2 linked regions of the Stegostoma tigrinum genome follow. The protein of the gene in region 2 interacts with the protein of the main gene of each other region in a pairwise test. Links are inferred from orthologs where the notes say so. Each region holds a gene or a part of one and is shown on either strand. Other genes may lie near its edges. The genes, in order: fgf12a and dachshund homolog 1-like.

Region 1 (15,475 bases), on a different chromosome or scaffold from region 2:
AGCTCACATATCTGGGTGCTTATTGAAGCGTCAAGCTTTTAAAAGATGCTGGGTATGGCAGAGATAATCCATTGTGTCAAAACCTATGTGAGTGACAGAAAGGCCATGAACAGGAATACCCTTCAAGATTCTCAATTGCAAACGGTGAACAACTCCAAACAGAACAGCTGAGGGGCAAGTGAATATATGAACAAATTACTTGTAGAAAAAGATCCACTTGTTTCTCTGGTGTGACTCATAACCTGCCAGCGCTTATGTATCACATATTTACTCCCATCCCCATCAAGACCATGTAATTTCCTATAAAAGACCAAGAGTTCAAAACACCAGGCAGATGAAGGAAAATGAATGTTTTCCCTCAGATGACTTGAAGGAAATGAAACTGATCCAGGTCTTAAACGGGAAAATCAGATCAGAAACATTTGCTGAATCTGGATTAATGATGCTAATAGTTTTCACTGCAGGAATGACAGAAAGACTGTACCTAATTGAGCGAAGGATCGTCGGAGGATAAAGATATCTCCACCAATCATAACAAGTGAATCCAGAGGCTGCACCAATCACAGTGACATTAGACGCTGGAATTCCACCAATCACAGTGAGAGTGATTCCAGCTTTCACCAATCAAAGAAAAAGTTGAATCCAGGCAATGTTATCGTCATATCAACACTGACTCACAAGAATCCACCAATCACAATCAGAGTGAATCCTGCGAGGGTCGCCAGTGTTAAATTGGGGTTTCATTTCTCTGCCCTTCACCAGTTCAATTTTTCTTGAACAAAAACAAAGTTGTTAGAAAAGCTTAGCAGGTCTGGCAGCATTGGTGAAAGTAAAAACAGAGCTAACGTTTCGGGTCCGGTGACCCTTTCTCATTACCTGCATCCGCAGTTCTTTCCGTTTTCTTTAAATTTTCTTCTCAATTCAACATTGTCTCGAACAGGGCTGTCCCCAGTTTACCGAGAAGACATTCAGTCTTCTTCTAGAATTAATTTCTTCTGGACTTTTGTGAAGCAGCTTTTGAGAATATTAAGATTTGGACAATATCAGACAGGAATCGTCCGCTTTATAAAAAATAAATGGTCTTAATAAATTATTAATGCGAGTTGCACTGTGTTCCTAGCCTGGGTGAATTCTGTCTTAAAAAACATTTTCTGCTAAATTGGAAAATGGTGCCGTGTCTTCAGAGGGATCATCTATTCTGAGAACGATAATGGGACATCAGCCAAAACATGAGCAGTATGCAGGAAAGGTGAATTCATAAAATTATGAATAAACTGCCTTTAGTTATCCCGGGATAAGCCCGGAAAGTAAACTGATAGCAAGGTAGATGCAGCCAATAGCCAGCTCAGCAGAGAAAGCATTGGTATCATGTTCTTCACATTCAACACTTCCCTTTCTTGTGAACCCCTGAAACTGAAGCAAAAATAAAAGCAGAGCAGGGGCAGGGTGACGGGTGGTAAGATCGATTGATCAAGCCTGAATGTGTTAGATCACTCCTTATCAATCATCAACAGATTGCCCCTGTTAGGCTGGCCCTAGGAAAGTGACTGGACCCAGGAGAACCTCAGAAAACTGACTCAGTTTCCCAGTTAGCCCAACCAACAATGCTGTATTACGAACCCCCAGAATGGCCTCAGTTCTGGTTTCTGGGTGCCGGATCGTACCAATTCGTCTTGGGTCAGTCACATGTAAGTGAAAATACAGTGAAAATCAGCATGATCATGCTCAGATTAATATTCAAGGCGAATCGAGCACAAACAAAAAATAAAGAGAACAGGGTCGAGTCAATTTTGGTGGCTGTCCTCCTCTCCCTCCCTCTCCCCTGCATGATGATGGTTTGCGCCAGAATATCAGCAACAACAACACAAGGTACTACAAAAATGAATCACCTTTCGTTTGCTGCTGGTTGCGGAAGATCTGACAACACAACGCATGACAGAGCAGCGGTGTGTTCTACACTCTCCTGACCAATAGTTATCCCCCATTTAAACCCCAAATTTTGAACGCACAGTTTGATTAATTGCCTCACTGCAGTTCATGGGATCTCACCATGCCCACGTTGGCTTCCACAGGTCCTACATTCTAGCAGTGACTATCCTCGCAATTAGTAATGCAGGGAACTTGTGGGCATCCTGAGATGAGGAGAAGCGAATGTTTTCACCACTACGTTCCAAACATGACTACGAAGTTCGTAATTTACACCGAGATTGGCCACCATTCCCGAGTCTATGAGGTTGCACAATGTAGCATGAAGAACTCTCACAGTTACAATTATAGTAAACACTTACAGGTTTCAGTGGCGTTCTGTGGGTCTTATCTCACTGGATATTGTTGTGCAGCTTTCCCTTTTACAGCCAAACACAACTCACACTAGAATTGGAGACAGTAGGAACTGCTGATGTTGGAGTCTGAGATAACAAGGCGTAGAGCTGGATGAACGCAGCAGGCCAAGCAGCCTCAGAGGAGCAGGAAATCTTTTCTGAAGAGGAGTCCAGACCTGAAACATCAGCTTTCCTGCTCCTCTGATGCTGCTTGGCCTGCTGTGTTCATCCAGCTTCACACTTTGTTATAATGGGTGTAGTGTACCCCGCATTTGCTTCCTGGTCAGCTCTCCCCTTTGTCCATAGGCCTTTCTGAATATTCCTGCCCATTGTACCACGATGACCATCTTACACTAGGTTCAATTCTGGTCTCCCAGCTACAGAAAATATGTTGAAGTAGAAAGAGTGCAGAAAAAAAGTTGACAAGGATGTTGTTGAGGCTGGAGATTTTGCACTGTAGGGAAAGGCTGCATTAGCTGGGACTATTTTCCCTGGAGAGTCCGAGACTGAAGGGTGACTGTGGAGATGTTAGGGTACATGGATGGGGTGAAGAGCTAAGGTCTTTTTTTTTACCAGGGTAGTGGAGTCCAAAACGTGAGGGCTTAGGTTTAAAGTGAGAGGAGAAAGATATAAAAGGGACCAAAGGGGCATCTTTTTCACACAGTGGGTGGTGTGTGTATGGAATGAGTTGCCAGGGGAAGAGACTGATACAGCTACAACATTTAAAAGGCATCTGGATGGGTACTTGAACAGGAAGGGTTGAAAAGGATATAGGACAAATGGTGGCAAATGGATCTAGATTCATTTATGTTATCTGGTCGACATGGACGAGTTGGACAGAAGGTTCTGTTCCCGTGATGTGCATATCTATGACTCCATCCTCCAGTCTCAAGCATTCCAATGCTCTCCTGACTGGCCTTCCATCCTCCAACATCCAGAATCTTCAGTTCATCTAACACACCTTATCTTGTATCCTAGCACACAATCCTTACTCCCAGCACCACCAGCACATGTTCAACGATCTGTGTGGCTCCATCATGCAATGAACATGGATTTCAAAGAGCCATACTGGAATCGAAGCATTAACTGTTTCTCTCTCTAAAGATGCTTCCAGGTCTACTGAGTTTCTGCAGCACTGTCAGTTTTTATTTAAAGCTTCCATCCTTGCTTTCAAATTGCTCCAAACCTCCCCATCTCTGTAACTTGTTCCAACTCTTTATCCTCCAAGATCTCAGTGTCTCTAAAGCTCTGGCCTCTTGCTCAACATTATTCTGAGCTAGAATTCCCCTCTCCTCCTTTAAGATTGCATCACTGCGACCCTCACTCTCTAACCTAACTTTTACACATCTGACATAATATCACACTATGGGGGTCAATGTCAATATTTATTTGATTATCTCCTTAAAAAGCATACTGTAATACTTTGATGCATTAACGACGCTACACAAATGTAATTTGTTGTTAGTTCTAAATAGCAATAGCGATGAAATCAATAAGCTAGCAAATGACGATGGTGGGGGGGGGGGGGGGGGGCGGGGGGATATCAGGGCACTGTCTCACATGCCCAGGGACAAAGTCGACACCATGTGGTCAGTTTCTGTGGCAGTTGACAACAGATCAATCTGAAAATCAGAGCAATTTTACACAATGAGGCATTGAGCCACAACAAATTGCTCTTCACAAAAGCAGATTATAGCTGTCGTAGATGTACTAAGTCTATGGCAAGTAATCCATCTACCCTGATTCCCTTTTTTATATTCTTGATATTAATTTTTCTTGTCCACAAGACCCGAGCACGATTCTCATTCTGCAGTCTGCCTAGAGAAGTTGATTTTAACCAGTGGAGTGCATCATCCCGCTCCCCGGACGTGAGAACAGGAAACAATTAGTCGCAAATATGTGCAGAACAAAAGAGAGTTAATTAACATTTCACGTCAATGATCTTTCATCAAAATGGAATCATACCTGTGTGAATGTTCATTGACCAGAAATGTTTTTGTTTCTCTTTACCGATATTACCAGATCCACTGAGTATTTACAGCATTTCCGTCTTTCATATTTTCACTGCTTTGCCTCTATAATGACGGAAAGTGACCTGAAACCCCAGCATTCGATCCGTAATTTTTCAAAAAGAAAAAGGGATCAAATCCCAAACAACGGAGAAACAGAGTGGGGCTTGCAGATTGTGGAGGGGCTGAGATGAATATTGCAAGACGCACATCCCTCTGCACAACTAGACAAGGAAGAGGGACATCTGGTATTAGTTTGAATGGGAACACATCGTGGCATATACACAGACACACACTCGGACATACACATATACACAGAGATACATAGAGGCAGACATACATATAGTGACAGGCACACACACTGAGACATACATACACAGAGACAGACATGTTCATACGAACACACACACACACAATGGACAGAGATAGACACACTCAGACATACACACAGAGGCAGATATACACATCAGATGGAGATAGATATACGCACAGAGTCAGACACACACACGGACACCAGATGATCATACACACATACATCAACCTGTGTGAAGTTTAAAACCCTGTACTGAAGCATGCAAACAGCAGGATTGCTTTACAACTGAGGCGTGACAAGTCAGCGATCGCAAGCAACTGTCACCCAATACATGACAAGCAACATTTACCCTCTCAAACAATCAAACATTCCCTAGTGGCTGTGTATCAAGACATCATTGCAAGTTCTTCCATCCTGCAGCTCCGATCTACTATTCAACCCCCCACCTCCCCACCAAATTAAATTTATGCAGTCAACACCCTCAGAAGCACGATCCACACAAGTTAAATACACAAGCTGCACCCTGATATTCATCTAGCGCCCAGGACAACTGAATAATGTGAAATAAGGTTCCAAAGCAATGTTAAACATATACAAAGGCATAAATGGGCCAGATGTGAGTCCGTTACAGCACACAATACAAATGCTGGCACAACGTGCGAGACTTCTGCTGGTTACTGTCTATTCCTGTCGAATGTGATTCAGTCTCAGTTCCATTGCAGCACAGGCAGTGAGAGCAGAGGCACTGCGCGCAGTGGATGCTGCCTAGCAGTGTATGAGTGTATGTGTGAGAGAAAGAGAGAGAGAAAGTGACTCCATACATGAGAGAGAGTGCGAGAATGGGGGGGACGGGACGAGAGGGTCGGAAGGTAGGGTGGAGAGAGGTAGGAGAAAATAGGGAGGGGTAGAAGAGGGGGGAGATCAAAGAGGAGGGGAGAGGCAAAGGGAGAGAGGGGGAGGATGGGGAGGAGGAAAGGGAGGGAAGAGGAAGAGGGAACGGAGTGAGGGCACAGGGGAGCAGCAAGGAGGGGAATGGGGAGTGGGTGAAGAGAGATGGGAAGGGGGAGAGAGAAGGGAAGGGGGAGAGAGATGGGAAGGGGGAGAGATGGGAGGGGGAGAGATGGGAGGGGGGAGAGATGGGAAGGGGGAGAGATGGGAAGGGGGAGAGATGGGAAGGGGAGGAGAGAGGGAGGGAGGAGGAAGAGAGGTGCGGAGTGGGGGGATCATAAGAAAGATTATGAAAGTGTGTCAGGGAGAGTAGGGAGAAAGTGAGACTGTGTGTGTATGCTTGTAAGAGAGAAGGAGAGAGCGCAAATGTGTGCAAGGGGGAGGAAAGAAAAGAGAAAGAAAGAAAGAGATGTTTTGAGCTTGGAAGCTCATAAGTGTGTGTGTGTGTGTGTGTGTGTGTGTGTGAGTGTGTGTGTGTGTGTGTGTGTGTGAGTGTGTGTGTGTCCGCCCGCCCCCCCCACACACACAGTCACCCACCCACACACACATAGGCATCCACCCACACAGTCACCCACACAGACACACCATTAGCTAACTTGAGGCCAGCACATGTACTTTGGAGAATAGTCGCCAACAAGAGTTTAAATTGGAAACACGCAGGGAATTGAAGAGAATTGTGAACAAGGGTGGCCAGCGGCTGGCAGCAGAGGAAGAGTTAACACTAACCTGCTCTCTTCCTGACTGGTCTCTTTTTGCCACTACAGAACCTGACTTTGGAGAAGACCCCGAGGCCGTGTCTCTCACACAAGGACTTCTTGGCTTTGTTGGGGCTGCTCCTCCGCTTGGTTGCTGACACTCGGTCGGTGTTGTTCTCTCTCGCCTGCCGCTTCTGCCGGATCAGGGAGCTGGCAAGAGCAGCTGCCATATCCCAGCCTGGGGGGGCAGCATTCACCAGAGAGAGGGGGGGAATTACGAGAACAGAATCAAGCCCGGGTCAAGAGTGCAAATTAACAGAACATCGAGAAGGCAAGCTGCCCTCTTCAAAGAAAACGAAAGCTGGGAGGAGGGGGTCAAGTCAAAACATCAGGGATCTCCCAGCTCCCTCCCCCCGGACACCAGGGACATCCTCGACCCCTAAGCAAGGAGCGGGCTGAAGAATAGGAAGATCCCAGCTTTGAGGCGCTCCTGTTCTAAGCTTCACACGGACTTCCCTTGAAGACAAGACAGAAAAAGTGCCCCGCTCTCTCTCTCCCTGTGAAAAGTCCAGTAGGTAAACGTCGCTGTTAATTCCAGGCAAAAAGGCAAGTCCAAGCTCGTGGCTCTGCTCTCAGCTGTCCTTGCTTCTAGCAGTTCGGGTTTAAACAGCGGCGGGACGGCGAGCACGCTGATTCTATACGGTTTCGCACAGTCTCCCAGGCACTTCTTAACCAGACCATCTCTCTCGGAACACCCCCCGCAACTGACCCACCCTCCTCCAGCTCCTGTTCCCAGTGATCAGCCCGAGCTGGAACTTCTCGTCCTCCTCGGACTCAGCGGCAGCAGCTTCCACCTACAGACCACCCCCCCCCCCCCCCCCCACCCCGTCTCTCCCAGAGAGAAAATGACACGTCAGAGAGGGTCAGGCAGTTTCCAACTTGGCACCAGGTCCAGGGATATCTCCCGAAGCTGCTCCACATGGAGCGCCGGCTTCTCAATTCCCGGAGCAGGAAAGGTGCAGCACTGGGTCACTCTCCGATCCTCCTGTCGCTTGTGCAGCTTCTCCCAAACTGCTACGCAATTGTACGTGAGTGAGATTTGGATGAAGCTTGTAAATCGAGGCAGTGCCAAGAGGAAGAGAGAGGAACTGCGGCTGCAAACACATGCTCCTCGACTATCCGAATCGATCCTTCCCCTCGTAAACCTCACAGTGTTCACAGAAGCACCCACAAAATACTGTATTCACAGAAACACACATAACATTCAGTACACACAGAAACACACACAAAATAGAATGCACACGCGAAATATTCACGGAAACACACAAAAGTGTTCACAGAAACACAGTCAAAATACAGTATTCACAGGAACACACAAATTTCAGTATAAACAGAAATGCACACAAAATAGAGCGCACACGCGAAATATACACAGAAACATAGAAAATGCAGTGTTCACGGAAACACACACACAATGCAGTGTTCACAGAAAGACACACAAAATAGAGTGGACACAGAAACACAGCACATACAGAGTACACAGAAACACAGAGTGGACACAGAGACAACAGTGTACACAAAATCACGCACAACAGAGTTCACAGAACAATATACATTGTACAGGTACAAAAATATGCACACAAACATACACAATATACAGTATACACTGACATGACAGAAGGTGATCCGAAACACACGATATAACGCACACAGACATATAGATGTGCACAGAAACACATGAAGCATACAGGGGCAAACACAATATACACAAAATCATACACAGAGCTGATACAGACATACTGTATATAGGGAAAGTACACAGGCGCACTGCATATTGTACACAGGCACACTGTATTCACACACAGCCTACACAGATACACAAGAACATGGATATCAATGGTAATAATTTGCTGATGATACAGAACTAAATAAGAATGGAAGTTGTGAAGAGGACACAGGAGGCTTCAATAGCACTTCAGCAGACTGGATGAATAGAGTACAACATGGTAAATGGAATATAATATGATTACATGTCAAATTATACACTTGGCAGAACAAAACAGAAAGACAGATTGTTTCTGAAATGCTGGACCATTGTGAGGTGCAGGTGTCCAAAGGGATCTGGGTGTCACTGGTCATGAGTCACTAGAAGCTAGCATGCATGTCAACAAGCAATTTGGAAGATAAATGGTGCACTGGCTCTCATCACAAAGGGACTTGAGCACTGAAACCAAAAAGATGTCTTTCTGCTGTTGTATTGAGTCTCGACAAAGTATTGTGTACTTTGCCTTGTTGAAGGAAGGATATACCTGCTATAAACAAAGTGCAACGGAGATTTACCAGATTAATCCTTGGTATGTTGGTATTATTTTACGAGGAGAGGAATCTAGGCCTGTATTCTCTCAAGCTTTAAATAACGAGGTGATCTGATTGAACCTTACAAATTTCTTACAGGGTAAATGGTGACAGCTCTAGAAGTGGTAACACAATCTCAGGATAAGGGACAGACTGAGATGAGGGAGAGTTTCTTCACTCAGAGGCTTGTGAACCTTTGGAAGTCTCTACTCCAGAGGGCTACGAGATCTCAGTCACTGAGTGTGTTTATGGCAGAAAGTAATAGATTTTTGAAAACTAAGGATATTGAGAGGGGACAGCACAGGAGAGTCGCATTGAAATGATGATCAGCCATGATCTAGAATGGGTTAGATGGTCTACTCCTATTCCTATAGTGAGACATAGAGACCTCACTGAGAGGGTTGAGAGTCTTTGCAGTTCAGGGCTGTGGAAGCTTTGTCATTGAGCATATTTAAGATTGAGATAGAGCTCTGGTCTGGCAGGGATTAGAGTCATACAGAAAACAAGCGGGAAGCTGGAATTGAGGCAGCACATCATCAAGATGTTCAACTTGAATAGCAGAGCAGATTTGACATATAATGTGGCCTCGTCTTCCCATTTCATACGTACACACAGACGCACACTGCAGAGGTGATGCACATTGCAGAGATGTACAGAGGATGTGCACACTTAAGGGAAGGAATTGGGGTACTGGTAATGTTGCTAGCCAATAACCCTGAGCCCCAGGCTAATGTTTTAGGGGATAGATTGAAATCCCACCTTGGTGCAACGGTGACCATGAGACCACTGTTGATTGTTGTTGAAAACCCATCCTGTCACTAATGTCCTTCAGGGAAGGAAATCTGCCATTCTCACCCAGTCAGATCTACAAATGACTCGAACACATAGCAATGTTGTGTCTTCTCTGAAATGGTCTAGACAGCCAATCAATTCTAAGGATGGGCAACAAATGCTGGTGTTGCCAGCAACAGCCGTAACCCATACAGTAAGAAAGAAGCAAAGTGTGGAGATTTACAGCCACAAAAATCTGAGAAACAAATGCAGTTGGAAACGCAGAATGTGATAGCACAGAAACAAGCCATTTAGCCCAGATAGTCTATGCCAGCATTTATCATCCACACAATACACCGATATAGGAATATATTGTCAAAGAGTTTTACATAGAAAGAATTACAAAGGCATTTACAATAAGCATGCTTAGCTATTTACTGTCTGAAAAAATATATTCACCTGGGCATACATCATATATCCCTGATATCTGAACTTAGAATGTCTCAAACGGGGAGTCAGATGGAGCTACGCTTGATCTTATTGGCTGGGTAGGAAAACCAAGGGATCAGGAGGAACACCCGTTTCAGTCTCCCTCTGAAATTATTCCCTACTCAAAATGAAAAATGAACTCAGTGAGGGTGGAAAACCCAAATTTCACCCAAACCCATCAGTTTGAGACAAGCAACCTAAAATTGCTACAATAGACTTTAAAAGGCATTCAAACAAGCACTCAGCACTCACGGGTTGTTGTTTACAAATCCATCTGTGTATGAATGTGACACCCACACATACGCATAGATAATCACACAGGCCTTTTATTTAAAAAAATCATTCTCAGGACGTGGGCAACATTGGAAAATCTACTGTTTATTGTCCATCCTGGATTGCTGCTTTTAATGAAACGAGGTGCCTTGCCAGGCCACACCAGAGGCAGTTAAAGTCAACCATGATGGTGTAGGTCTAGTATTGCGCAGAGACCCTCATGAGGTAAGGGCAACAGATTTTCATCTCCAAGGGGAACCATTTGCATTTGATTTCATTTGAAAGCCTCACAGTTTATTTTACTGAAACCAGCTGATTATCTTCAGCAATGGGGGAGGCACAGACAAGAAGCTCCCTGTGAAATTTGCTTGATCCAAGAGGTCGAGACACTTTCCCTAATATTAGAAAAGATACTTTGACTGGATGCAAGCCCATATTGTTATGTAGAAACACTGCAAGATGCTGGAAAACATCACTAAACTGGGTTCAATTGACAAGATTTTACAGAACCTCAAGCCAAGCAGAAAAGGGCTCTTCTGGTAGTATCCCTCCCCTGGTCAGAGAGACTCAGGTTCAAGTCCCACCTACTCCAGAGGTGTGTAATAACATCTCTGAACAGACTAATCAGGAAAAATGATTAAATAATTAAAAAAATAAACTAAGCAAAGAAAGTTTGGAGATTTAATGGCACCTGCTCAACCTTTAATGAAGCATTTCTGCTCCTTAGCAACTCAGATTCTGAAAGAGGAAAGATTGAGTGCAAGCTGACAAACTGGAGCATTTAACAGGAAATCTCTCTTCATTCCATTAGCCCCAAAAAAACCTCGAGTACTCAATAAAAAATCTCTTCAACCCTTTCCAATAAAATTATCATTTTAACTATCTTACATTGTGTTACCAACAATGGTGGATAGTGATTGGGATTAAGTGCTACCATGAATTCTTCTTTCTGCAGATTTTAAAATACAAACCCACTACCAAATTCAATGAAATTAGAATTTACAACCCCAGGAGGCAAAGGAATTTCACAGCTTTTACGCAGAATATCACTTCAGGGAGGATGATGCACCCCAGCTCCCATGTTGCCCACTGGTTGCAGAAGATCTGAAGTGTTCTGATGGGCACTGTACGCTCTCTGTCCAAGGACACCAGGTTGCACATGTAACCACAGAATAGGGGCAGGTAGTCAGGTGCAACAATGCCCTACATGGTCCACTGCCTGGACCTAATCTCCCTTTCCACTCTTTAAAAGAAAATGCTTAAACAAATTAGGCAGGGTACTGGAACAAATAAAAAACTAAAAACAGATAATAGAAACAATCCAAAATTAAATCATTATATCATTACCAGAGAAGTGGATTCACCCTAGTCCCTGCAGTGATCCCTAAAGGACCCTAACCTTACTGCATCAGTGGACTCTATATGCTTTCACTCAAAGAACACCTGAGTGTTTAAAAACAGAAGGAGATCTTTCAGCATGTTGAGTTTATATCACCATTTCACTAAATCATGCATGATCTGGACCTCAACTCCATTTATCTGCTCTTGCTCCTTATCCTGTAATAACCTTGACCAACAAAAACAAATCAATCATTGCTTTGAAACTTTCAACTGACCAACACCCCACCACCAACTTATCAGCATGGCAGGAAAAAAAGTTCCAGATTTTCACTCCCCCTTGTTTCACTCCCCAAACAGTCTAGCTTGAATTTATATTTGTGCCCTTTGTTCTGGATTTCTTCCCACCAGGGAAAATGGTTTCTTTCTATCGAGTAAGTCCTCCACTCATTAAATATCTCAAATGAGACTGCCCCTTAATTAAGAAATATGAGTACAGTACTTATAACCTGAAAACATCCTGAATTAAATCAATTACAGTGAATGAGTTCTGAAGTAGTCACAGTTATTATTCTTGGAAACCTCAAGTTACTTGCAAACATTAGATGAAAAGGAGGACTAATCTACTCCAAAATCTTGAAGGAGGACTATTTAATCTGATTGGTGGGCAGGGCAGAAGCCCAACTCTCTCAATACCGCTCTGAATTGGTTACATTCTTTAATAATGCAATAAGACATGAACCCTTCCTACTAAGATACAGGAATGTTAACAACTGAGTCAACCTAAGCCTTTCAGAGCATGTTGCTTACTGATATAATTTAAGATTTGTTTCCAACAGTTCACCAGATGTAGGAGTATTGCAAACTTTTAATGATTGGACCTTGTATGTGTCCCACGTACATTCTGGGGTTTGCTTATAAAATTTAAAGCAATTTTCCACTTATTTCAATTCTCGAAGTCGCAGATCCAAGTGTTCTGATATAGGACTAAATCAGGAGAGATAAATCTGGAAGAAATCCCATCTCAAAGGCCCTGTGATTAATGGGCTGACTTCCTACCAGGAAACAACGTTGATCAGTTCAGTAGCAGCGCTTGATAGAGGAAGATGGGGAGATGAGAAGACAAAACTAAATGCGCATTTTCAACTCGTTGGATCCAGGTTATTCAGCATCTGTTGGTCCATAGTTAATGATTTGCATGTGATGTGAATGTCCTGAGACCTGATTCTTGTAAAAGCTTGAACTATTGTATGGTGAGAACAGAAGTGGAAGAGAACAGAACCCATCAAAACTGTTCAGGTTTTTAATGAACAGTATGCAGGGTGATCTATGAAGGGGGCAATGTAGCAGTGTCCTACAATGTACAATATGCTAAGGTGACAGACTGACAGTGACAGAATCCAGCTGTTAGATGTGTTAGTTAAAAGGTTCTGAAACAGGCAGACTACTACAATGCCTGCTCATTCAGCTAATGGGCGTCTGAGCGCCACAAAACACAGCATTTCAAAGCACGTGTCTAGGCAATAACAATTCAGATACAAAATCACAGGAAATGCATGTGTCACTTTTGGCTGTGCCTATAACTGGGACACCTTCAAACACTGCAGACGTCAGAAGGACAGCCAGTGTTTCTGGACTAGACAGCTTCACAAAGATAGAAGCCTGTGCTGCAAATCTTGACCAAAATGTGCTGCAGTTAAGACATCCTGACCCATCAATCTGCAATGATTTTGTGCCCATCATATCAAACAGGAATCGTGAGTTATAAATGAGTGAAATTGGTAATGTGCTCCTGTGGGAGAGAACATCTGGGAAATAATTACCCCAATGTTAGACTATTTCAATGGGGACCAAAAGTACCAGAAATCTGGCAATGACAAAGTGGAAAAGGATGAACTTTAATAAAAGGGCAGACAATTTTGGAACAGATCAACTGTGCAATGCTGAGGGAACTGAAAGGTAAATGACAAGTGTACATGGATAAGCCAAAACATGCAAATCCCTAAAATAAGAAGAAGAAATCCAAGAAATGGAAGCTAAAGCAGCTAACTAGCTATGTCTGAAGGCAAATAAGATGTGCAAATTTCTTTTTACTCCAAATTAAAAGTGTGTAATATCAAGCACAACAAATCGTATCATAAGCAAAGAGAAAGTAAGATCTTAAATCAAGTTCAATGACACTACAGAGGGTACTGCATCTTAAGTGATGGTCAATCAATGCTGGCCAATCCAGCAATGTTCACATCCAACAAATGAGAAAGAAAGTAAAATTGTGGACAATTGTGACAGGAACTGGCAAAGGTTTTCCATCTTGCAAGGAATCAGAAAACCATCAACACCTCATGGGACCATTGAAATATGCTCAGAGGCAAACTAGAAAGGGCAGTAGAGGCATGGCAGTTACATTAAACGAGTGTTTGGCAGCGGTCTTTATCCAGGAATTTAAGGATCAATAGACAGCAGTGAGCATTGCTGCTAACAATGACAATCACCTCACTGGTCTCCAAACAAGCTTAAGGCTCTGAAAAGGGAGTAAAGTGGGCCGCAAGATTTATTTCTCATTCAAAACACCTCACTTACCCAGGTAATCTCAAAGAAGCATTGACTTGGTAGTGATGTGCTTGCCATCTATAAAATATTGAAGGGACGAGATTGCGTTTATCTGGATTCAAACATCCAATCACGTTTACTTATTACAACAGGGCAGAACTAGGTTGGCTGTTCTGCTGTCCCTAACAATCGAGCGATGGGCTCAAGGAATAGGCTGTGACTCTTGCAGTGGAAATAGTTCGACTAAATTCCTTTGAGTGACTGCTGTTTCTCTCCGAGCTGCAGATCATTTTTTATGGTGGGTTAAATATTCTGTTATGTAAATCTAGGCCAACACAATTGTCTGGACTGGTTTCAGTTGCCTATGTGGGTCAAAGAGGAATCTCCCAGTTCAGTTTTCCCTCATTGTCTTTCACGGATAGCAGGTGGGGAACGTATGTTTGAGATGCACACAGATATAGGACAGGATGTGTGGGCATTAACTCCGTCATATTTCCAGCTTTGTCTGAATTTTCAGTTCAGCTGGCAGATACCTGTGGTGGGGACTGCTAAACCAGCCCAGAGATGCAACTGATATCACTAGCACCACCCAGAGGCGGTATAGTGTCCAAACCACTAGAATTGATATTTGAGATGTAATCAAAATATCATCTTAATTACTTCAAGGACGAGGTGCTGAAACTCTGAAAAGCAAAGCAATTAAGCCTCAACTGATGTTTCCCACACTTAATGAAGGTGTAATGACAGGAAAATGCCTTGCTGAGAAAAACCTTCTTTGACAGGCTCTGGATTAGATATTCTGTTTGTAAAGCTCCAAACCTCAGACAGGCATTAATCCTGATGAGGGACTGTACAGAAATGATCCACACTTGAAAGGACCGAGTTTCATAGGAATTGTACTGGGGTCAGTTCAGAGAAGGTTCGAAGAGAGGTTGTTAATGCCCATACTCTCTGGAGTTTGGAAGGATGATAGGAGATCTAATTAAGGTACATGAGATGTTAAAGGGGACAAAGTTAAGTATACAAATGTTTTATCATGGGGGTAATCTACAAGAAGTTTTGGTCATAGAAGGTTGTAGAATCCCTACAGGGTGGAAACAGGCCATTTGGCCCAACAAGTCCACACTACCCCAATGAACAGCATCCCACCCAGACCCATCCCCCTAACCCTATATTTCCCACGTCTAAGCCACCTAACTTACACAACCCTGGACACTATGGGCAATTCTGGTATGGCCAATCCACCTACCCTTCTCATCTTTGGACAATGGGAGAAAACTGGAGCACCTGGAGGAAACCCTATGCTGACACAGGCAAAATGTGCAAACTCCACACAGCCCAAGGGTGGAATTGAACCTGAGTTCCTGGCGCTGTGAGGCAGCAGTGCTAATCACTGAGCCACCATGCCACCCT
Region 2 (15,975 bases):
ATTATTATCCCAATTCCCGCTTGGATGCGGTTGCTGGGTGACTGGTATCTTAGCACCCATTTCCACTCGATATGATCTGAATCTGATCCAGCAATTCCCCAAAGAGCGACATAAAAAAAGAGACCGCACAGCTTCTCTCATAAAAGAAACATCTTCATAGATCAGGCGCAGTGAGAAAAAAATGTTGCCTTTTTTCGTCCGACTGATCTTTCCCTCACGTAGACACAGCAGTCTCAACTGTACCGTCGATGTGAAATACTCATGACAAACACATAAGGTCTTCTCCAGAAGCTATAAATGTCGATATACCAGGAGTCTAGTTAAAACCCGCATGTTGCTAAAGTGAAGCAGAACAGGCAGCTCAATGCAACAATATCAAATAGTCACAGTGGCATCATTCCAGATCATTCCTCACTAAACATCTCACACTTGCTCTGTGGACACTGGCATGTTGGCGCTGAGATCTCATTTACTTTCAGAAAATCAAGCAGAAAAGTTTTGGCCCGGCTTAAAGCAAAGTTAGTGAGAGTGGGTTTGTTTAACTTTACGTTTCGGCAAAGAACATCAGTTCCAGTTTGCTGTCGATTTATCATAATATCATTGGACTTCATGAAGAGATGGGCTGGGAAAGAAGGGCAAATGATGCTTTGATCACGGGGAGGCCTTGACAGTAACGGGAGTTCGATCGTTCTTGTTTTATTAAAATTTAATTGAAGTGATTTCTCATTGCTAGCGGTGGGAAACATTTCCACGTTTGAAAGCTCAGTTTGCGAAGAAGGTTGGCATTTTGACCACGTGTTACTTTGTGATTCACAGTATTTAAAGTAACCTACCGGTTAATAAAACAATAGTGGCATTTTTGTTTAAGTTTTGGTAGTTTGGAATGGTACCTTGCATATAACAGCCGAAGGGATACGGCTCATTTAATCTTGCCTTTTCAAAGGGATTTGATTGAAATACTGCTTAGAATCCATGACCTTTTGATGACACTTCTTGGCAGCAGGCGCATCTCGCTGTCAAACTATCGGATGACACCAAATGGCATCGCAAACAACAAATGAGTTAGCAGCCCACACTGTAAAAGAAATGGCCAGCGAAAAGATGTTACAGTGCGAGGATCCAGTCTGCTCACTGTCTGATGGAAGATACCTTTAATTCCGATTATGTGGACGCTTGCATTTTCAGCAATGATGCAATGCTTCCTGAAATAGTTCGGAGCGATTGTGAAAGTGATTGATTTTAATCTTCACGGCCACTACCAGGTGCTTTGAAAGGCAATTATAAGCCTGTGTGTTCTAGTATTATCCAAGCACCTCGCTGCCATTAAACTCCCATGTATCACTGCATTAAAGAACGGCCAGCCCACCCTCACAAACGCATACGCAGAGTTTTATTGCAGGTATTATGTCAAAATTACAGTTCCCTTATTACTCAATAGCTAATTATTGTTCCAGTACTGATTCTAATCTAAATGTACTTAACTTTGAAATGTTCAGACTTTGGAAGTACGTGCATGAAGTTGTGCTGGTTAATTAATCTTTTGCAATATCAAATATGTGGCCCTTGAGCCTTTTAGTTTATTCAACAACAGAGTCTTTATTAGGGTGTGTAAGATATATGTTTGTTCAACAATCTGAAATTATGTAATGAAAGCAACATTTAAGGGACGTTAGTTGTCCATCAACATCGGGTAACAACTTCCTGTCATCTTGACAACTGAGCTAATATCTCAGAAATCCTTTAGTCTTAATGATCCTGTCTGTACCTCTCCAATTAATAATTATCTTTTCTAAGATGATTCTCTAACCATGTCACATCAATTGTGAAGCCCATTCTGCTAAATTACTGGAAGAAACAATAATTGTTCAAAGAACAATTGTTCTTCCAAAGGACTCAAAGCGAGTCATTTGACATTAAAGACATCCAGCATGCTTTCTGGGAACAATTGCTTTCTTCTGACTCAAAAGAAACAAAGCAGATTATTTCAGAAATCACAGACAAGTTTAAGGGTAATTACAGAAAACGTTATTTTAAAAAAAGTCCTTACAATACAAGGCAATCCTTCAAACTGCTTGAATATTTCTTGGCATGATAAGCATTTGTATCAAAAGTGTACCATAGTTTTCATTAACAAACTATAGCTGTTGATAACCTGTATGGTCCACGGGTTCAGATTTTAGATACAGTAAGTTTTACTTACCAAGAAATTTCAACTTTCCAAATTGTCATTTTACTTAAACCTTTAAAAAGTATGCATTTTCCTTATCCAACTGTTGCTATCAGACTCCAGTGCATAGAAGTAAGCAGTAATTCAAACTTATGACATAATTGCTTCCCAATGTCAGTTGTGGCTTTTTTTTGTACAAACGGATCTTCCCTTCTGGTATCTATTTCATTTAAAAAAACCCTGTTTCTGCCACATTCAAGTGACAATATAAAGTTTGGCATCTCCTTTCAGTAACGCTGCCATTATTATCACAACAGTCCTCTTCCTACTTCTTTTTTCCTCATTGTGAGACGCTGGACTGAGAACAAGTTACCTATGGGGAATAGAGTTACATTTTTGGAAAAATGTTGCATATTCTCACTCACGCCTGTTCTAGCCTATTGCCTCAACCATTATAAACTGGTTTGTCAGCATGAAATGGTTACACACTTCAGGATTCTTCTACAGATGTCACAAATAGAACATATTTGTATTTCTCCCTTGTACAAAGACATCTTAACAATGCAAGGAATCACAAAGTAGATTGCAAATTACGAGATATACCTGTAAAGCTTCAGATAATTACAATGCAAAGCCTCTTCAGTCTTCCACTGAATTTCTGATGGAAATGCTTCTTGTACTGTTTGTTGGGGAACTCCTATACTTGTGTTAACTTAGACTTTGGCACCATGAAATCTACATTTTGCTGTTGTCATTGAGACTTGATTTTGACTAAAATTGTTCAGCTTTTCCCTCACAGAGCAGTTTTTGAAAACCTTTTAAAGGAGGGGAAAAAGCACACATTTGAAAAGTAGATTTGGAATTGGTGTATCTCTGTTCAAGATGTGCAATACTATTTTTGTAAGTAATACACAACACATAGGTTTATCATGTGGCATATGATAATGGATAGCAGTAGCATTTATTTAATTGCAAAACATGATGTGGAACTAATCTTTATTTGTCAGTCAATCTGGATAGTTCCTCCATAATATGAGTCATTGAAGAGTTTCAGATGTCACATTTGGAAATTTAAAGTTCTACACAGACTCCAAGCCTTGTGCTTATAAATAGAAATAGGAGATAAAATCAGTGGATACATCCTTGGCTTCCTTAAGTCTATTGTATATATCAGGGGTATGTTGAGATCATTTTCAGCAAAAAAAGTCATCGTTCTAATTAAATATTTTAATGAAAATGTGTGTATTGGAGTCAAGCAGTAATAATAGTATAATGACCCAAGAAATCATTCCACTATTATCAAGAAAACTAGCATGGTATATACACTAAAGAAAGTATTATTGCTGGACGTAGTGAATATATTGCTAATGTATAGCTTACTTCACTTGTGAAATAACATATTATGCATTCTGCTCAAGCTCATGTACATGATCCAAGCATATTGATACTTTTGATTATGCATGCATCTATTCAAGTAATGTGCACAGAATACTGGATTTGAGCAATGGTATCATGTATTCTCATAGAACAAGATTCATGAAGTAGAATCTTGCATCTTCTATTAAATGTTATAGCCTGTTTATAAAAAAACTAACTGATTAAAAAGGGATTTTGCATGTTAAATATGTAACAGACAATAATGGTATGTATTAAAATATTAAGCAGACTAATTCCATATTGAGAAGGTGCTTGAGCACAATACTAAAAATTGTGCACAGCTAGTCCACTATGCAAAGATTTAATGATCTTCAAGACAAAACTTCTGCTTTTATAAAACAGTTGAATAGTTTCAGATTTGCATAAATCACATATATATTTGCCAGTGCAATACAATATGTCACATCCCATATTATTGCATTAAAGAAAAGCTCATCCTACTACACAGTAATGCATGCAGCAATTGTGCAGTGTGTAAAGATTCTCCATTCAGCCAGTAAATATTTTATGCTCCATCACAGGATTAAGCTGTGATGAAAGAAACTAAAATCACACATCTAACAAAAATAAACATTTGTCAATAGGAGGTGGGGGTAAAGTTATGATTTTCAAAACAGTCTATCCCTGCTCCATGGTATACTATGAAGTCACTTTCATCATTGCATTGTGTTAACGCTTTGATTATCTGAAGGGTAAATTGATTCAATACCTCTTTATGCACCAATGAGCATTAAGTGACAGTGATGGCTGATCAAGTGCCATAACTTTGGGTGTAAGCGCTATGATTTGATAAGATTCTAAAACAGGCTAACACAACATTTTCTTTCCAAAAAGAATATTTACAATCACATTCTAAAAACCTGTGGAACCATATTCCAGCAGCTACAGATCATTGTGAACTTCTCAACAAAATAGGCTAACGATAATCTATTTAACCGTACTTACAACAAAGCTCTGATATCTTTCAACTAGGAGTTATCAAGGTAACATATTTCAAAGTAACTATTCCATGGGATGAGATCATACATCTGAATACCAGACTACATTGTGTCAGGAAAGACACCAACATGTTCCAATTTACTACTAAGTTCTTCAGATGAAAAAAAAATCAGGTTTAGTGATAATAGGCAACAGATAGAAAAGTATCATTTTTAATGCTAATTTTCCTTTAATACTGAAAGTTGGCCTATATTTTTTAAAGTAGTTTAATTACTTTAGATCAACAGAAACCTGATGAGGGCAAAGAGATAGTTATCAATGTGGATGCTGTGAATGTTGCCCTTGCAACATTTAATATAGCCAGAACTTTCTTTAAAATTGATATGGATCATTAAACAGCACATTGTACATAAGAACTCAGTGATGTGCCATATATTCTAAGGCAAAAAAAGATCAAAGTAAAACTATTAATGGGTGGTGTAAAAGCACAATTGTTGGCAGCCATCTGGTACAGCTTGTTATTTTATAACATCATGCAAGTGAGGGTATACTCAATGGTTTTTTATTAGTTTAAGCATTTATTCATGGAAGCCTCTTACTGTTGGAGATGGGCGTAAAGTGAACAAAAGGTATTGTCAATTACACCTTATCTCCTTTGAAACTGATGTTACTTGTAATTGTGCAAGCATTAGGTAAACACAATCCTTTTAGGAGGACAGGAGAAAATGTAGAGAACATTACAGGAAACATTTCAGCGCTTATTATTGCAAAATGCACCACTGCGATTCGCTAGTTTTCCTCTAAAAAGTACTTTCTTAGAAGTTAAAAGTTGCCTGTTCTTAAAGGGGAAGAAAGTTGCAGACACACACATACCCTCTCTAAGAAACTGTTCGGAAATTTGTTTTGGGATACGTGAGAGATACTATAAAGCGTTAGCTTAAAGCTCCGTTTAAAGAACAAAATAGGGATAGACATTGTCATTTGCTTTTAAACTCGATACAAATAGATGGAAAGGGAGAACATTGCAAAGCTCCAGAACAGGGTGCAATTAACATGCCCTACGTACAACAGTTTTTTTTTTGCCGAAGCATTCTCTTGCAGCGGAAGATTATCTCTCTAAGCGCCGAAACCTGTGGCCCGAATGCACTTTCTGATCATACCAAAGGCATGGGCGCTATTTTCGTGGGATTGGCTCCGATCACCTCATTTTAGGGCTAAACTTTCCGTTCGGACCAGCAGGTGGGATTAGAAAGGGGAGGTGCGCGGGCTCCAGTTGATGATTTATATAATCAGAATAAAGAAACTAGGTTTTCAAATGTACTCACACACACAGAGACACACACACGCCAGCAAGGGTACTTTAGCCATCAGCACAGGTTATTGGCGACCAGGAACAAGGGGATACCGAGCAGGTGGCGCGTTACCAATGAGTTGCTTGAACCGTTGGGTGTTTGTGGTATGTCATACAGTTTGGGAGATTTTGCCCGAGAGCTGTTGAGTTGGTTGGGACTTGAGAGAACTCACCTTTGGAAACTTGCAACTTAAAACTGAAACTATCCGGTTGGAGGTTGAAGTGAGTTAACGGGGTAAGGGCATGCGTGTGTGAAGGGGTGGGAAAAGGAGTTGTAAGGCTCTGCGAGTGCAAGGGTAGAGGGCTCGGGAAGGGGAAGGATGATCAGAGAAAGAGTGGAGATGGGGTATTGACATGGGGGAAGGGTGATCAGAGAAAGAGGGGAGATGGCGGTGAGATGGGGGAGATGAAGAGGGAGGGCAAGGGGGGAGATAAGGAACGAAGGATGGGGAGGGATGAGGAGGGGAATGAGAAGTGAAATGAAGAGGAAGTTGGGGGAACAACTCATCTTTAGTCTTTTTTAACTGGGCACAAAGAGCTGTTACATTTATCAGCGTTTCAAAAAAAATGTTCTCGCTTTAACCGAACTTAAATTTCTGCTGCTAAGGAACGTAAGAGTTAAACTTTTTTTGTTGTTTGCTGCGGAGGGCTAGAGATTTACCAGGGAAGCCAAGTTACGGGGAGTTGTTAGGGTGAGGACTCATTGTCCAGTATCCCTGAGCCCGAATTGTGCCCTGGATGGCCGTGTTGGTCTCTCTCTGGTCATCACGAGGAGCTTCTCTGTCAACCTCCCCCACCCCACTCCCCGCCTCAATGACCATTGCCCGCTCAGACGATAGTGTGGCCCGGGACACACTCCCTCTCTCTCTCTCTCTCTCTTACCTGGCGTTGGTGCAGTCGTTGTAGAGGATTTCGAAATCCTTCCTGGAGATGAGTTTACAGCGGTTGACCCCGGGCTGGATGGCGCCCAGGCCCCGCAGGATGCGCACTTGCTCCACATTGCAGACCACGGGCGTTATATCCAGCCTCTTCAACTTGGTGTAGACGGTGTGCAGCCCGCCGACCAGGTGCTTGAGGAAGAGGTCGAAGGCCTGGGGCAGGCAGATCAGCTCGTGTCCGTCTACGGTGAACGAGGCCACCTTGGCCCCCCGCAGCTCCACCATCCTGCACTCGTTGTTCTGCGGCGTGTTCTCGACCGGAGACGGCGTGGAGTAAACCGGTTTCGTGCCGCCGTCCGCCCGGAATAAACTCTGTGCTGTCCCCGCTGTCCCTGGCCCTGCTCCCGCTGCAGCTCCGGCCGCCGAGGAAGTGATTGCAGGGGAGGATGAAGAGGAGGAAGATGAGGAGGATGAAGGGGTCGAGATTGGAGTCTGATTCACCGGAGCTGGTGGGATCAGTGCAACCGGAACGGCCATGGTTGCTGGAACATAGAAAAATTGGGGGAAAAGAAAAAAAAGACAAAAAAATCCCCACTGTATTTCTCCTCTTGAACCAGAACAGGAATCAACACACATTCATTTAAAAGAAAAGGTGGGTTTTGTGACTGATCAAAGTTGATCTCGGCTCCTGCACTCGGCCGTTGAAGTTGTTATTATTGTTTTTTTTGTAGAGAGAAGCGGAGAGAAGGCGAAAGACTGTCGGACAAACACACACACATAACACACACATAAACATCAAAAGGAGGAATGACATGTCACACGGTATCCCGGGGGCGGAGCAATTAACTTTCCAGCCAGGAATAAATCAAATAGCACCCTATCCACTCGCACCGAGAGGGAGAGAGAGACAAGCGAGCAGCTTCTTCTGGCTCCGCACAGCCAAGGAGAGAACGAGTTGCAGAGCCGAGCCGGGCCGAGTTTACAAATAAGTCACTTCTCGGATCTGTTCATCGCAATTTCGTGGAAACACAGAGGGATCAACTCGCCAAGTAGCATTCACTTAGGGCAGCAGAAATCCACCCACCGCAGAACATGATAACCAGGCAGTACCACGATTAACCTGCCCCTACTTTAAAAAAAACCATACCAATTAAACTGAAGACGCCCCGTCACACTCCCCCCCCCCCCGCCGCACACACAATAAATTAATGCAAGTCCATCCTTCAGTACATTGTCAGCATCATTGTTCAAAGTCAAGAGATCAACTTTGCAGCTACATCAGATTCCATACACAACATGCCTCCCTCTATAAAGCAAAGTCTTTTATGTGGGTCCCTACAGAGACCTACCAGACATCCTGCACTCTAGCCACTTCCAAACCACCAATATGTATCGGTCAGATGATTTTACTCATTCAGCTCCATCGACTCTTTTTTTTAGTAATAGGGTAATCAATTTTGTTGATTACATCTGCAGTTGGAAAAATCTGCGTTCAGACTCGGACAGCCTTCTTTAATTTTATATGAAAACAACAAGAAATACCAAAGTTATTAAAAACACACCAGGTCAGCTTTTTACACCACTGACTCTCCAGCTGGGAAATTCTACTTTAGCCAAGGGATATATTAACCACGAACTCACACACTCATATCGAGCGAACAACTACACACGATCGATTCCCGAATCTGAATTCTATTCAAAAATAGGAATCAGACAGCATAGACGAGATTAGCAGCAGCGGGGTCGAATTTATAACATCCATTGTGCGGGCCCGCTCTCTGATTCTGCTAAGATTACTCAATTTAAACGCTATGACTGAGTGCGCCAAAGTTGCTTGAAATCCTTACAGGGGAAGAAAAGACGTTAGGAACGGGAAGTTTTAGCAAACGAAACGACAAACTGACTAAATAAGACACATGGGTGCCCTTTTTCCTTTATTTTATTTCTCCTTCAAAAAATTCACAAAGACCTTTAAGGGGACATGGAAAGTGCTGGTGTTCCTCGGTGCATGGGAACAATTATTACTCCTGGCGCAAAGATTAACACATTAAATGAAAGATAGTTACCCACCTCCCCATTTTATTTAAAAGGTTGACACCGTTGTAATTTGACATAAAGAATGACCAGCCTTTAAGTGCGGAAGCGGCAGATCATGATGCAAAGCAGATCTATAAGATCATTTCAAATTCAGAGGCCCTGAAACAACGGCTTCAATTTGTCCTTTTGTTATCGTCCTTTCACACATCCTGAGTTCTAATCACAGTTTCTCATCTCCATGGGGGCAGCGGGAGGAACGCGCAAACAGCTGATTTGTAAAATTTGTCAATATAGTATGGGGGTTTGCGGTGGGGGAGGCGAGTGCACATTCTCCGAGGTCCGGAGAAATTGCTTATTCAACATTGTCACAATTTAAGGTATCGAGAGCCCTCATTTCCATTAGTGAAGAAAAGGCTACTATCTCCAAGAACTGGGCTTCACGCCTGCGGTACTGATCTGACCGTCAGCAGAGTTGCACATATCCCCCCTTTTCCAACAAGCCTCAGCTCCGGTCCACACACTTCCAGAAACAGTCTTTTAATAACGGCATGTTTGGTTGCTTGGGGGAAGAGTTTGTTTATGTTTATCCCGTTAAAAACGATTGTGTTTGACCTTAGATAGAGGGCTACATATGTGAGATTAGGAGCTGTGAATAAACAGGGCTTAGCTCCCAAAGCAGCTGACAGTCAAACTTGAAATTCATTTAAATAGCGACTAGCAGGATCTCATGATTAATAGATGCAAGTGTCGAACTTGCATTCCAGGCACGACCCAGTGTAATTGTGTTTGCTTTTAATTGAAGTCAGGGCGCTTCAAGAACTTGCATTTCAATTCATATGGAAGGGATATTTAAAAAAAGCAGCCGCTTTGACCGCAGATATATGTAGATGAAGACTGAAGCAGGTCTGACAAACAGGCAACGTTTCACAATCTGCAGTAGCAGTAAATAAAACGAAAATCGCGCACAATTAACCCGCAAAATCTAACAAATCATCCGGCTTTTTTCTGCTCAGCCGTGCCCAATTCTCAGGTTGCGGGGTCACTCTGTCTGTAAATTGTTACAGGATCAGAAGCCGTTTGAAGAATATGAGTTCAGACGCGGCGAGAAATTGGAAAGACGCGGCTTGGAGAGAGAAGCCAAAGTGTGCAGAAAGATCGCAGACTTGTTTGGAGTTGTCCCGCCAACACAAATACACACACTTCTCCAGTGAGACGGCATTATGCGGGCTGAGACCGCTGCCGTTTGCTACTGCTACCGTCTCTCTCTCTCTCACTAATTTCACTAGGATTACGTGATCACAAGTTCAAATTTATTGGGTTACCGTAAAAGGTACCAAACACATCAGGTTGACTGCACGGTCTTAATGCTGACTCGGATAGGAACTCAGGAAGGAGGTTAAGCCAGCAGAGGAAGTCAAATATTTTGTAAACACTCGTACTGACACCTACAGTATACACGGTTAAGTCCGGGTTGATACGCGCTTACTGAACGGATATTCTAAACTGCCCGAAACTTAAATTCACACCACAAGCTCCTCCTAATGGAGGTTTCATCGCACTTTTATTGCTGAAACAGGAATTCCAGTTCTACCATATTCTCCATCCCTTTAAGTGACGCTGCGCAAGAATTTTCGGTCAATAAATCCCTTTCATCTTTAATTAATAAGTAAATCACAGCTATCTATTGGCCCATGTAACACAATATTTTGGTCCTCTCTTGAGATCAAAATGTATTCACGAACCATTGACCAAGTACAGCATTTGTTAACAATCTTTGTAGCCATTATATATGGGACAGAACAGGCAATAAACATTAACCAATCACATCGCGAGTATGTGGCTCAGTGTATTAAACACTGGATAATAAATCGCTAAATTGATCAATGATTCACGGAAACAGTGCAAACTGCAAATAACCAATAACCCGTAATGCACACTAAGAGTGATTTAAAAGTGATTGCTCCAAAGGCACCAGACAGAAACTGAATGGAAGCGACTGGAGGAAAAGAACATGTTAATTCGCTCCTCTCCTGCATTGTGGCAGATCAGCGAGCGAACAAATAAAAAAAAAGGCACATTTTGTGAGCAGGTCCATCTTGTCTCGACACGTCCCTGAAGAATCTGGTCGTTGCTTGTCAGTTTCATCAGCATGCATCAGCTGCTTAGGTAGCAGATATATTCAAATTTACCGCAACTCCCTGAACAGCTATGATTCATACGTGACACACACACACACACACACACACACAGGCAAAGAGGAGAAACGAGGAATTGAACTAAATGCGGAAACTATATCGTGCGCTTTTATTATTATTTTTAAAAAGGGAGGGTTTATTTAATTTCCAACGTAAATATGATGCATGGTCATTTTGAGCTAATTGCATCCGCGGACTGTTACCTATTTGTTTGCCAATGCTATTTACGCAGCTCTGTGATGTTGTCCCTGTGATGTCGGTTCCTGGGTGCAACTGACTTAATCCTGGAGTAGGCCGATAACCGGGACAGATCGTTCGAACTAAACGGCTAGAAGTTTTCAAAAGAAACTTTTTTTAAAAATCGGTGCTTTCTGAGGTTGATTGCAGCCCCCTGGCTTGGACATTCAAGGATGGAAAGGTTTTAATTTGCATTTGAATTGCAAGAACGACCCGTAAACACTCCCAGGAACGATTTTTACAATGTGCGCTAAAGGTTTCTGAACATTTCAGCCAATTTTCAGAATCTTAATCGGCCTGATTTCAAGTGGCGCGGGATAAAAATGACTTTTGTTTAACACACTACTGAACTGTTTCTTTATTGGCCAAATACAGGCTCTGAAGATCAAGGTCCGTATATTTGAGTTATAAAGCTGCACAGCAGAGTGCAATCGAATTAATGCTGACTCGTTCTTTATGCAAAGGGAACAATGCTCATATTAATAGGGACAGTTTTGCAAGTGACAGGAACATTGCTAAACTGTAATGATTTAAACAAAAAGTGTATTCAATGCATACTGAGAGTCTCCTTTCGCAGCCTTCAGAGTCCAAACGCTCCGTCTTAGTGTTTTGTGAAAGGAAGTGAGACACTTCCAAGTACTATCCAAATGCATTAAAACAGTAAACAAACATGAGAGAGTTTATCGATTTTGCTTTCGTCTTGCAACGAAGCGACCTTTCTGGAGAATTAATCATACTAAACACAGCTCTGCTGCGTTTGAAATCACCTCTCAGCCTTTCGACAATACCTTCTTGATTATACAAAGTTCTTCTTTTATCATTCGTCAGTGCGCATTTATTAGAAAAGTGCATCCACTCTTAACACACTAACATTGATCCATTTCTTTTCGTTGGAGGCTGCAAAGGTGTCACTTTGTGTTAATCTGTTGCATGTGTGTTGAAGAAAATTGCGTTTCAATATTCTCATTATGAAAACATTCTTACGTTTACCAGACCTCAACTTTAAAGATTTAAATTCCCGTTAGACTTCCCAGTTTATAATCTATTGGGAAAATGTTTTTTTTAATAATGTTATTACTTTTTGCCCATTTTTATATTTTATTACTTTTTACAACTCATTTTTAACAGAAAACGGTAATAAACTTTTGAAACGAATATCATTTACGAGGCGCGCTTTTCTAAAATAATCGATTCGGGATATTTTTGCTATCCGTTTGTTTTCTGAGGACAGACTGAAACAAAATAATGAGATAAAAGCGACCTCTATAGGACAAAGGTAATAATTGTTCTTTTTACCAAATATTTTACAAAAAACGTGTATGCAAAATCGTTCAAGTGCTTTCAATTGTATTTGCACGCAAGTTACATTCGCAGTTTTCTTTAGAAAAGGAAAGTACATAAAATAGGTTTGGTTAGTGACGGTTCTTCCCTCGATGATTTCATTTGGGGCTTAGCCAGTTGGTTGAGTTAAAATGAGATGTACAGGGGACAAAAATATTTGTTTCATCTTGGATGGATCAAGCACAAAGTAACAATACAGATTTTTCGTCAGGTTCCTGCTAGTTTATGATTAAATCCCAGAATTTCACTGCCATTGTCCCAAATCAAAGACTTAATTTTTCCAAAGGCTCATCACTTTGTGAGTCATGAAACTGTCTCAACAATGTCATTAGTTTAGCCTCCACTAATTTTAACTAATGGTTCCTTGTTTTATTATTTTACAACACTTTGAAACATTCCTCTGGTTCTGCCTGGTCTGCTGTTCATCTCCCAACCCATCTGTGTAACTGTTAATGCAGGTGTTGTTCATTCATCACACTTATTCTCATTGACCTCTAATTACAAGTTCGAGCAATGCCTACATTTTAAAATTCTACTCCTTGTTTTCAAATCCTTCCATAGTTTCACCACTCCATACCTCTAAAATGACTTTCAGTCCTTGGAGTCTTTGTGACCTCCATGTGTGTCCAGCAATAGTCTTTTGTACATCCCCAATTTATTCAACTTCAACTCCACCATAGCTGTCTGAGCCTTCAGCTACCCAGGTCCTAAGTTCAGAAAAGTCTCTCACTAAATCTGTCCACCTTTCTTCATTTAGATGCACCTTAAAATTTACCTTTTTTTTAGATTCATAGAAGCTAGAAGCAGGAGTAGATCATTTGGCCCTTTGAGGCTACTCAATCATTCATTATGATCATGACTGATTCTGTATCTTGATGCCATTTTCTCATGCTCTCCCCATTTCCCCTAATTCCGTTAACAACTAAAAAATAATGTATCTCTTTCTTGAATATATTCAGTGACTTGGCTTCCACAGTATTCTATGATAGATAATTTCAAGGTTAATTACCGTCATGGCCATTTATGGCCTATCCCATAACCTAAGACTGTGAACCCTGGTTCTAGGGTCTTGGACTCTTAATGTTTCCTCATATTGACTGTAGTCAAGTTATGTACAGTAAACGTTCCTGTGTATACCTTGAGATGTTTTATCACATTATAGATGGACAAAATTTTATTTTATCTGTAAAATTCAATAGCAAGCAGATTTTCAAGCAGTTTCCTCTCAGTTGTCTCTTACCAAAGGTAATGTTGCCTTGCACTGTAATCCTTTGATATTAAGGATCAGCCTTATTTCACCTCTGTGCTTTGTTTGCATCCTTCTGCATTGCCGTTTGAATTGCATGTGAATATAGGAGACATGGCTAGTAAATTTGCAAATGATACCAAAATAGGTGCTGTTGTAGACAGTGAAGAAGATTATCTCAGAGTACAATGGGATTAGATGGGCTCATGGGCTGAGGAGTGGCAGATGGAGTTTAATTTAGATGAAGGTGAGGTGTTGCAATCTCATCAGACAAAACAGGGCAAGACTTATACAGTTAATTGTAGGGCCCTGTGGAGTGTTGCTGAAAAAAGTGACTATGGGGATGTAGATGCACAGTTGGGATTTCATGTTGCAGCTGTACAGGACACTGCTGAGGCCACGCTTGGAATACTGCATACAATTGTGGCTGTCCTTCTAGTGGAAAGATGTTGCTATAACTGAGAGGGTTCAGAAAGGATTTACAACAATGTTGCCAGGACTGGAAATTCTGTGCTGTATGAAGAGGCTGAATGGTCTGACGATAACACAGTGTGGAGCTGGAGGAACACAGCAGGCCAGGCAGCATAAGACAAGCAGGAAAGCTGATGTTTTGGATCAGGACCTGTCTTCATAAATGGCGAGGGGCTGGGACCTCAGAAGTAAATGGAGAGAGGATGAATGGGGCTGGGGAAGCTAGGTGAGCTGGTGATAGTTGAGTGCAGGTAGGGAGTGGTGGGTATTGGTCAGTGAGATGGGAGGAGCAGATAGGTGGGAGGGAAGATGGACAGGTTGTGCTCTGTACACAACAAATGACCACACCTTCTGGTCACGAACTGTTTCAATTCCCCCAACCACCCGCTGGGTGACATGTCCATCCTGGGCCTCCTCCAGTGTCACAATGATGCCACCCAAAAGCTGGAGGAACAGCACTTCATATTTCACCGTGGGACCCTACAGCCCAATGGCATAAATGTGGATTTTACAACTGACACAACTTGTCCAACATCTCTTCCACCATTTGCTCCTTCCAACTCACCGACCAATCCCTACCACTGGCTACCTGCGCTCATCTATTACCATCCCACCTACCTTCCCCTGTCCCAACCATCTTCTTTCTACTTCTGAGCCCCCTTCACCCCATTTCTGAAGAAGGGAGGTAGGTTTAAGGTGAGAGTGGAAAGCCTTACAAAGGACCTGAGGAGTATCATTTTCACACAGAGGATGGTGTGTATATGGAGTGAGTTGCCTTTGGAAGTGACGGAGGTGAGTACAATTACAAGATTTAAAAGGCTTCTGAATGGGTATATGAATAGGAAGGGTTTTGAGGGATATGGACCAAATGGTAGCAAATGGGGCTAGGTCAAATTGGGATGTCAGGTTGGCACAGATGAGTTGGACCAAAGGGTCTGTCTTTCTTCTGTATGATTCTGTAAATTTGAGCACAGCCTTGTGAAAGGTGAGTAGGGCACCTTCCAACTTATAGTCAAGCAATCTAGTTAAATAATTAATCATACCGTTCACTTTCTGGTTCATAGTTTTACACCATGTTGAGTATCAGAATTACTGCTATCTCCAGAACCTGATAACAATAACTATTGGCAATTGCTACATCATTAGATCATTATAATGACTTTCTCTTACTCCTTCTGGATTTATTTACTTGTTATTTTGATCACCTTGTCTGTCATGTCTCTTCCTTCCAAACCTCCATTGATATTGTGGTGGCTTCAGAATACTGGCCATTGAGGTGCACAATAATCTTACTATGTCCATTATCTGAACACTCATTCACTGTAAATTCTTCATGCTATTATTGGCTTTGGAATTTATGATTAGGAACCCCAATGCCCAGTAACAAACATAAATGACTCTTTCAAAGAACAGGACCGAATGAAATATGAAGAGTCCATCCAATGCATGCCTTTTAAGGCTGTCCCTTGCAAGTATGGCATTGCCATTTAATTGATATATTCATGTTCTGCACCCTGCCTTATGTGATTCATGTCTCCTAAACAGGTGGGGAGAATGAGGTGGTGTATGAACATTCAATATCCCTGCAGGATTCACATTGTACGTGTTGATCAATGTGCAGTCAATGTGTCTTATGAGGTACAGGCATTAAAGATGAATTGGCTGTTGAGATGTTC

The links.
Region 1: the proteins of dachshund homolog 1-like (region 2) and fgf12a interact in binary tests that used the Homo sapiens proteins (3 or more experiments, as listed by UniProt). The two-hybrid records come from large-scale screens. The link is inferred for Stegostoma tigrinum from reciprocal best matches to the Homo sapiens genes DACH1 and FGF12.

What each region holds. Positions count from the first base shown.
Region 1 is NC_081367.1:58,733,066-58,748,540, reverse strand, and holds the start of fgf12a (fibroblast growth factor 12a), read right to left. Parts: upstream 7,113-15,475; 5' UTR 6,517-7,112; coding exon 6,318-6,516; intron 1-6,317. UniProt on the Homo sapiens protein: Involved in nervous system development and function. Involved in the positive regulation of voltage-gated sodium channel activity. Promotes neuronal excitability by elevating the voltage dependence of neuronal sodium channel SCN8A fast inactivation.
Region 2 is NC_081359.1:24,907,354-24,923,328, forward strand, and holds the start of dachshund homolog 1-like, read right to left. Parts: upstream 7,950-15,975; 5' UTR 7,409-7,949; coding exon 6,777-7,408; exon of another isoform or gene 6,385-6,776; intron 5,173-6,384; exon of another isoform or gene 5,135-5,172; intron 1-5,134. UniProt on the Homo sapiens protein: Transcription factor that is involved in regulation of organogenesis. Seems to be a regulator of SIX1, SIX6 and probably SIX5.